Linked DNA regions of Cricetulus griseus. The protein of the gene in region 1 purifies or fractionates together with the protein of each later gene. This does not show direct contact. Links are inferred from orthologs where the notes say so. Each region holds a gene or a part of one and is shown on either strand. Other genes may lie near its edges.

Evidence for each region. The genes of interacting proteins can lie anywhere in the genome.
Region 2: the proteins of Prkar2b (region 1) and Cdk5rap2 purify together in Homo sapiens (affinity purification with mass spectrometry; 3 studies listed by BioGRID and IntAct, counting the BioPlex papers as one, with this or other methods). This does not show direct contact. The link is inferred for Cricetulus griseus from reciprocal best matches to the Homo sapiens genes PRKAR2B and CDK5RAP2.

The regions. Positions count from the first base shown.
Region 1 is NC_048598.1:169,644,256-169,648,525, reverse strand, and holds the start of Prkar2b (cAMP-dependent protein kinase type II-beta regulatory subunit), read left to right. Parts: upstream 1-1,422; 5' UTR 1,423-1,652; coding exon 1,653-1,953; intron 1,954-4,270. UniProt on the Homo sapiens protein: Regulatory subunit of the cAMP-dependent protein kinases involved in cAMP signaling in cells. Type II regulatory chains mediate membrane association by binding to anchoring proteins, including the MAP2 kinase.
Region 2 is NC_048595.1:75,832,596-75,836,901, reverse strand, and holds the start of Cdk5rap2 (CDK5 regulatory subunit-associated protein 2), read right to left. Parts: upstream 2,841-4,306; 5' UTR 2,664-2,840; coding exon 2,608-2,663; intron 1-2,607. UniProt on the Homo sapiens protein: Potential regulator of CDK5 activity via its interaction with CDK5R1. Negative regulator of centriole disengagement (licensing) which maintains centriole engagement and cohesion. Involved in regulation of mitotic spindle orientation.

The DNA.
Region 1 (4,270 bases):
CAAGACCCAGCAATACCACTCTTGGGCATATACCCAAAGGATGCACACTCACCAAACAAGGACATTGCTCAACTATGTTCATAGCAACATTATTGGTAATAGCCAAAACCTGGAAACAACCTACATGCCCCTCAACTGAAGAATGGATAAAGAAAATGTGGTACATTTACACAATGGAGTACTATTCAGTGTTAAGAAACAATGGCATCCTAAAAACCATCCTGAGTGAGGTAACCCAAAACCAGAAAGACAAATATACCAGACATAAAGCAAAAGATACCCAGCCTATAATCCACAACCCCAGAGGAGCTTGCATCCTCTTCCAGAAACAGATGGAAGCAGATGCAGAAATCCACAACTAACCAATGGGCCAAGCTCCTGGAGTACAATCAAAGTGAGAGAGGAGTGATAATATGAACAAAGGAGTCAAGACCATGATGGGGAAACCAGGTGACCCGAGCCAGTGAGAGATCACTTATTCAGGTCTGACAAATGGGGTATCTACGTAAGACTGAACTAGACTCCCTTAATATAGTTGACAATGGTGTGACTGGGACAATATATGAGGCCACTGGCAATGGGTCCAAGACCTAACACTAATGCATAAACAGACTGACTTAGTGGAGCCCATTCTATATGGAGAGCCACCTTGCCCAGCGTAGAAACGGGGTGGGGTTGAAGAGGTGCTTTGGTCCTGACTCAACTAGATGATGGGACAGACTTAGTAGACTTCCTAGGGGAGGCCCTACCCTTTCCGAGGAGCAGACGGGATGGGGAGGGAGTGGGAGGAGAGGAGGGAGGGGTGCTTGATAATAATAATTTATTTTTTTGGTGTTTTGGAGACAGGGTTTCTCTGTGGCTTTGAAGGTTGTCCTGGAACTAGCTCTTGTAGACCAGGCTGGTCTCGAACAAATTAATAAAAATTGAATAAATAAATGTTGCCTTTGTCTCAGCAACTAGCAAGAAATGCACCAAGCATGCCGTGGCAGAACATCTGCACAGCAAGCTGACCATCACAGCCAGGTGACTGAAAAGCGGGAAAAAACCTAGTGAAAGAAAATGTTGTAACAAATAAGTAGCCATATTTCCTGTATCCAAAAGAGAACCAGTACAGCTGTGTGACTTTAACAAAAGACACCATGCACATTTCTCTTACTGTTGGCTTCTAGGAGAAGAAAAGCCACCACCAAGGTGGAGGCTGAAGTTTCAGAACAAATTGCACGACGCCAACTCCGGGAGGGCTTGGGCAGAATGATGCGCAGGATCTGCTCTGAGAGCTGTCGGCCTCACGCCCTAGGTTCCCGCTGCCTCCACCCAGAGGCCACTTAGCAAGTGGCGCTGAACCCGCCTGCCGGGTTGCCATGGTTTCCGGGGATCACGTGGGCGCGCGGGCGGGGGCGGGGCGCCGGGCGTGGGGCGGTGCAGTGGTGGCGGGAGAGGGAGCGGGAGGAGCTGGAGATGCTGCCAACCCTCCCGGGCTGTGCTCGCTCTGCCGCCGCCGCCGCCGCACGGAGCAGCCGCGCCAGGGGCCCAGGGCGCCGCGTTCGCAGCCGGTAGCGCCGGGGGCGCTCGCTCGGGGCCGCGCAGCCTGAGACCGGACAGCGGACAGGGTGCGAGGGCGGCGCCCAGGCGCCGGGGCGTGCACAGGCAGGATGAGCATCGAGATCCCCGCGGGGCTCACGGAGCTGCTGCAGGGCTTCACGGTGGAGGTGCTGAGGCACCAGCCGGCCGACCTGCTGGAGTTCGCGCTGCAGCACTTCACGCGGCTGCAGCAGGAGAACGAGCGCAAGGGCGCCGCTTGCTTCGGCCATGAGGGCAGGACCTGGGGGAACGCGGGCGCCGCCGTCGGGGGCGGCGCCCCCAGTAAGGGTGTCAACTTCGCTGAGGAGCCCATGCGCTCCGACTCCGAAAACGGCGAGGAGGAGGAGGCCGCGGAAGCAGGGGCGTTCAATGGTGAGGACCGGCCCCCTCGCGCCCTGACCACCGCGCCCGCCCGCCCGTCTCGCTCGCCAACCCCGCCTTGCTCTCGAACCCTGCGCTGAGCTCCCCACCTTCCCCGAACTCTCTATCTTCCCATCCCGCCCACACCCACCCACCCCGGCACCCATTTCGGTCTCCCACTCGCCCACCTTCCTACTCCGCTCTCTTGCCAAGCCCTCCCTTTCTCTGGAGGTGGAGAAATGAAAGGTTGCGCTCCGCAGCCCCTCTGTCACCTTTCTTCCTTGGCCGATTTGGGGTGGGCATCTTGCTGGAAGGTTAACTTTCCCGTGGCTGGAGATGTCTCAGTCTTGGAGAGTGCCATTGTGCATGAAGGGCGCTTGGTGTCCTCTTTTCAGCCCTTAAATTTATTAATGGAGTGTTCGCAGAGAAAAAGGCAAGCGTGTAGGACTCAGTAAGAGGAGTGTGACATCGACTCACTAAGGTAAAGCAAATGAATGGTAATAGCTGTGACATCCTTGGAATACGAATAATTTATTATTTTCCAATATCATGTGGTGGAGATATTTTTGGACGCATAACAAAGGATCACATTTAGCCAGATATGTAAGGGGTCTCTGAAGTGAGGAAATAGGCCAATGATTTTCTTTTCTTAAAAAATTTCAAAACATATATTGAATGGTTTGATTTTTTTTAAGTGTGTGGGAAAAAAATAACACCATAGGAAGCTCTAAGAGCATGTCGGCTGTCTTTAGAATGAAAAGCCAGTGAGTAACTGTAAGGACCTTGCCAGACACTGAGGCTAGAAAGAATGAATGAGAGAGAAAAGGAATTTTCTTAAATAGCTGCCAAAAGGCAAGTGCCGTCCCTCGTGCTTCCCAACCTCTCCCTGACACACCAGATACACACATACACACACACACACACACACACACACACACACACACACACACACACACACACACGTTCACAGTCCCTTGTATTTACACAGTGTTTTTCAGGAACCCAGGCTAAAATGCCATGGTGTGCAAATGTACTAGTGTTTTCTATGTGGTGTAAGGCAAGCACGCATGCAACTTTTATTTATTTATAGTGCTGGTGATTTGTGTGTCCACAATGCATTTCATACAATGAAAACACTTCATTTCCTGTGTCCCTTCCTAGAAAGATTTTTTATTTCTTTGTAGAATTAATTACATATTGGCTGGGTTACAAGAGTAATGCACTTTTAGCTGGTCTAAAACGTGAAACTGTGGACATTAGTGCTCTTTAAATGTGAAAGGGAAGATTACTATTTAAAAATCTTAATATGGGACATTTGGTGCTTTTGAGGATAGGGTAGTCATAAATTCAATTGTTCCCACACCAAATCAAATGCTTGTCCTGCAGTGTCATCTATGACGTGTGTGCACACGCCCTTGTGCACACACTGTGTGTGAAGGGAGATACACATGGAGGCAAGCAGTACACAAAGGAGATAGGGACTGGATGGCAGGCAACAGGAGATGGGGGACTTGGTAAAGAACCTTTATGCTCTTCAGACTATGATGTTAATACAGCTAACCCCTTTTTGTTTAATTCTCTTGAAGTACTTTGCATTGACTTGATTTCTCCTTGCAAGGGTGTGTATCCTGCACATTGGAACAAAGAAGTGCATTTGTAAGCAGTAGGGGTATTTACTTTTATGAAGCTTTATATTCTTCAAGTCATCTTTCCTATAAAATTACTCAAGGTCAGTTGTAATGAATACTTAACTAGTTTATTCCCACCTCTACCTCCAGGGATTTCAGAAGTTTTGGCTCTACCCTAGCACAATTTGATCATTATCCAGCAGATGTATGTTTGGTGTTAGTATAATCTCTGTTGGGGCAGTTCATTTTTATTCTTCTAAGTCACACTCTTGTTCCCATAGAAGTAAACTGTGTAAGAAGCGGTTAAAAACAATTGTAGGCTATAGAATGCTTGGCAGACTTTTTTGTGAATGGCCCTTTCAGACTGTGGGCATCTTATCATCTGGATCATTTTTTTTCCAAATAGATCTTTAACCAAGTGTACTCTCTGGAGCTTGAATTCATACAAGGCCATAGTTTACTCCTGGACAAAGGGGGAAATATATATATAGTCATGTGCATGTATGCACATACACGCACGCACGCCCTCTCTCTCTCTCTCTCTCTCTCTCTCTCTCTCTCTCTCTCTCTCTCTCTCACACACATACACACACACACACACACACACACACACACACACACACACACACACTTCAAGATATACTCATTTGTGGAAAAGACACACATGGGAAATTGACCAAAACCCTACAGACCTATTAAGG
Region 2 (4,306 bases), on another chromosome or scaffold:
TACTTCATCGGCACAGATATCAGTAAACCGAGTATACCAACAAAGAGAAACTGAGGGTTGGAAGGGAAGTGACTTATTCAAAGCAGCATAACCAGCAAGGGGCTGAATGAGGGTTTTTACAGTCATCTGTGCTATCATATTGACTGCCAAGCACAGGTCTTTCTACATAAAAAGATGCAGAAGTCTTAACTGGGGCAGGATCCCTGGGTCCAAATTCCATGGGGATAAAGCTGCTTGAAACATGCACAAGGATTAGGTTTGGAGCAAATAGTGTATCCTTACCTAAAGAAACAAAAGTTCAAGGACAAACTGGGTTCAGTTTAGGCTGTAAACATGGGGCTTGCAAATTACCAAGAGAAGGTTGCTCAGAAAGCAACATACTAAAATGAAAATGATACTTTATCATAGGAACTATTTTCTCCCATTGTGGTTACCTAATGGAGACCCATCTCCACCCACCCACCCCTCCCACCCCCACCCCCCGGAATATTTCTGATACATACTCTTGAAGGGCCAGTTCAGTGCCAGAAGCTCAGTAAGAGCTCCTGAATACTCACTTTGATTAGTTCAGACCATCCAGAAGGCAAAACAGGTTCTGGAATCAGGAAACTTGGATTTAAATGCTGACTTATCATGAACTCTTTATGTGACCCCAGACCATTTGTTTTAGCTCTCTGAGCTTCAGGGGTCCCACGGATAACAAGGAGACAAAAGTGGCCCCTCAGGGAATCATTTCTCACAGTGACTTAAAGTTCCTGTTCTAAAACGAGTTTCCATCTCATCTGGTGGCCATATGTTAATAGCCAACACCTGTATCATCCAATACACAGGCCATTAACTAGAACTTGAAACGCAGTTTGTCCAACTGAGAAGGAATTTAAGTGTAAAAACTCATACCAGATGTCAAAGATTAAGACTGAAAAGCATAAAATACCTCATCAACAAGTTTTCTTATAGATTTTTCTAGAATTATATATGGAAATCTCAAACTAAATAAAGTATGTTATTAAGTCACTTGCTCCCAATGGTACTGCTGCCCGGTGGTAAAGCACTTGCTGAGCACATGTGAGGCCCCCTGTTCAACCTCCAGCACCATAGAGAAAGGAATTTTACTTGCTTCTTTTTATTTACTTTTTTTAATTGTGACTACCAGAAAGTTTTTGTTCTTGTTTTAGTTTTTAGAGATAGGGTTTCTCTGTATTGCCCGGGCTAACCTAGAACTGGTTCTGTAGATCAGGCTGGCCTGGAACTCTGAGGTCCACCTACCTCTACCTCCCCAGTGCTGACATCAAAGGTGAGCACCACCATTCCTGGCTTACAAGGAAGTTTTTAATTAAATACACACCACAGGTCGTATTTCTATTGGACAGTGCTATTGGGCTGTCAACAAGGTTCGGACAATGACAAGCGAGGGTACCTGGAACAGTCCAGTCAAGGGTGGGAATATCAGTGAGGGTTTCCTAACAGTGGAAGATGTTAGGCAAAAGATAACTGGAAGATAAGGCAAAAGGTGTACAAAGGACAACTGAGGCAGCAAGAACAGCAAGTGCACAGGCCCAGCAGCAAGAAACACAGCAAGATCATTCCTGACACTGAGCTTGAGCTTGGCAATCAGGCATAGGGCAAAGACAGGGTTGGGAACCAGAGAGAGACAGTGGGGGTGAAGCAAGAGAAGCAGATGCAGCAGTCTATGGAGAAACATGGAAGCCACATTACAGAACTTCATCCTGCAGACAGCAAGTTGCCTGGAGGGCCTAGAGTAGGTTAAGATTCGAATTACCAGAAATGAATGCAGTATCTGTCCTATCAAGGCTGGGAGAGGAAGGAAAGGAGAGTATTAGCAGATCCATTAAGTTAGACACTGTGCTAGTTTAGTTCCCTTGCCAACAACCTATTCCAAATGTCCAAAATAATCTAATTTCTGGTCCCAAGGGCTTTGGATAGAAGACACAACTTGTAGCAGTGGTCATGATGGTAACACTGATCCCCCTTCTCAACACTGTTGTGTCAGCTGCTGCACTTGCCAAGAGAACTGCTGGGCAGCCATTGTTTCTTTTCATTCTCATCCAATTATGGTGAGTGCATACGTGCGTATTACCATTAGCCCATTTCACAGAGCAGAAGTCAATTTACCAAGGTCACCCACATTGTCACTTTTTTGGGTGGACCTAAACCCAGTTCTGTCCATCTTCAGCCAAGGATCTTAACTCCTGCACTGATGCCTCTGTCCTGGGAGGCTACTGTGCCCGCCCCCAAAGTTTAAAATAACAACTACACGCCCCATAATGAATGCAAACCCCCAAACAAAAATTATTCACCAAGTGCCCTAGGGTCCCGGTCCCAACCCAGCCCCTATTAATAGAAATCCCAATTAGTCCCACCTCCTCCCCGTCTTTCACAAAGTCCCTTACCTATCCTACACATTCTCTCAAAGTATGTTCCAGAATACCACAGACGAATGTGGAGCTGGCTGGACACCCCCAGGTCCTAACACACGCAGGCAGCAGCAGGGACCATCCTCAAACAAACGGAAGGCCTCACGGGAGAGAACCACCATCAATAGGAACCCCAACCCAGTTACCATGAACCCCAAAATCAGGGCCACACCTGCAGCCGCTGAGGGTCACAGGCAGGGTGATGTCCTCTTCCATTCCCGAGTCCATTACTGAACACCGAGATGGTGGCACCGGTGTCTGCGGAGGCGCCACTGGTTCCCCGAGCTGTGGCGACCTGCTCGGTTCCCCAGGTCCCGCCCCTTCCAACCCAGCTCTTGTTCTCAGTCTAGCGGCGCCACTGGAATTCAAACCGCAGCCGCCGCCATCTTTTCCTTGCTTCTTCCTACGGAAACAGGGCGGGGTCATCTGGCACACGGGGTGAAGCCGCCCTGAACCGGCCTGAAACCGGGCAGGGAAAGCATGAGTGGACGCCATCTTAACTCAGGGCAGAATCTTCGCTCTTGAACCTGTAATACTAAGAAAAGAGACGCTGGCCGCCATTTTTTATGTGTGCGGGTACTCGTGATGAAGCCAAGGCAGGGGCCATATTTGTTGAGGGTGAAAATCCGCCCTGGTCAGTTAATTTAAGCGGGAGGTGGGACAACTCATAGTGTCTAATTCTGTTTGCTGTTCTATAATCATGACTACACACTCGCGCCTTGGTTCTTTTACTCAAAAGACTTCTGCCTTATGTTGAAACTCAGATAATTGAGTTCTACCTCTATTTAGAAAAATACCACCTGTGGAGCGCTAGTATAAGCAGTAATTTACAGACTGAGTTTGATGCCTCATACCTATAAAGGGGTCAGGCATACTTCATGTCAAAGCTTTCAATGAAATTTGTTACCGTTAGAACTCATGCACCAACAATCAGTAAACTGAGACCCGGGGAGAAGAAATATTCAAGTTTACTATCCACCAAAACCAGATCCTTAGCTTCTGGCATGGAGATCTGGGTCCTCTGGAGCCATGTTTTAACCTTCCTGGAGAGAACGAAGATATTATGAGAAAAGCCACTGTGTTGCCTCTCAAATTATGATCTTTACAAAACTGGAATTTCAGCTATTCCTCCTTGGAACCCCTCCCACTCTCAGAGTTTTTTCTTCACTTTTCTTTAATAAATCTACACAGGAGTGAGAGAGAGGAACTTAAAGTGGAGTGGGGGAGAGGGAGTGAGTGGGGAGGAAGAAAAAGTAAGGGAGAGAGGGAAGAGGAGAGGGAAAGAGAGAGGGATAGGGAGGATGTATGGATGTGGAACAGTGGTCCCTAGCAGTTAAGTATCTCCTACTGCCAGTTTGTTTGTTTTTGTTTTGGCTGGGCCCTCAATAGTTACAAGGCTGTTTGTACTGCACAACACTAGCTCCAGACCTGCTATATTCTGTGGTTCTGGGGGAAGGAGTGGGTGTCCATGACTGACAAGCTCAAGTGCTGAGATAATGGGGCTAGTACCTAACCTACAAGGTTTTTGTAAGGATGACCTGAGATATCTTTAGGAATTCTGTCAGTAGTAATTCTGTCAGTAGTAATATGTTCACATGTTCATATTCATTCCCATTCCTCCATAACCTCAAATACTCTTTCTTTGCAAACTGGCAAGAGTCAGAGCTGTGATTTGAGCCCAGATGCCTCTGAACTCCAATGTCCTAAAAGGTTCAGACAGGCCATATTCCCCAAGTGTTCAGTTCTTTTTCCATCTTAGAACTTACAGTTGAGACATGAGATCTGTGATTGCTGGAAGAGGAGGTGTCATTATCTTCCATGGTAAGTTGCACATACTCCAATGAATAACCCCCATCCATGCTCATATAAGC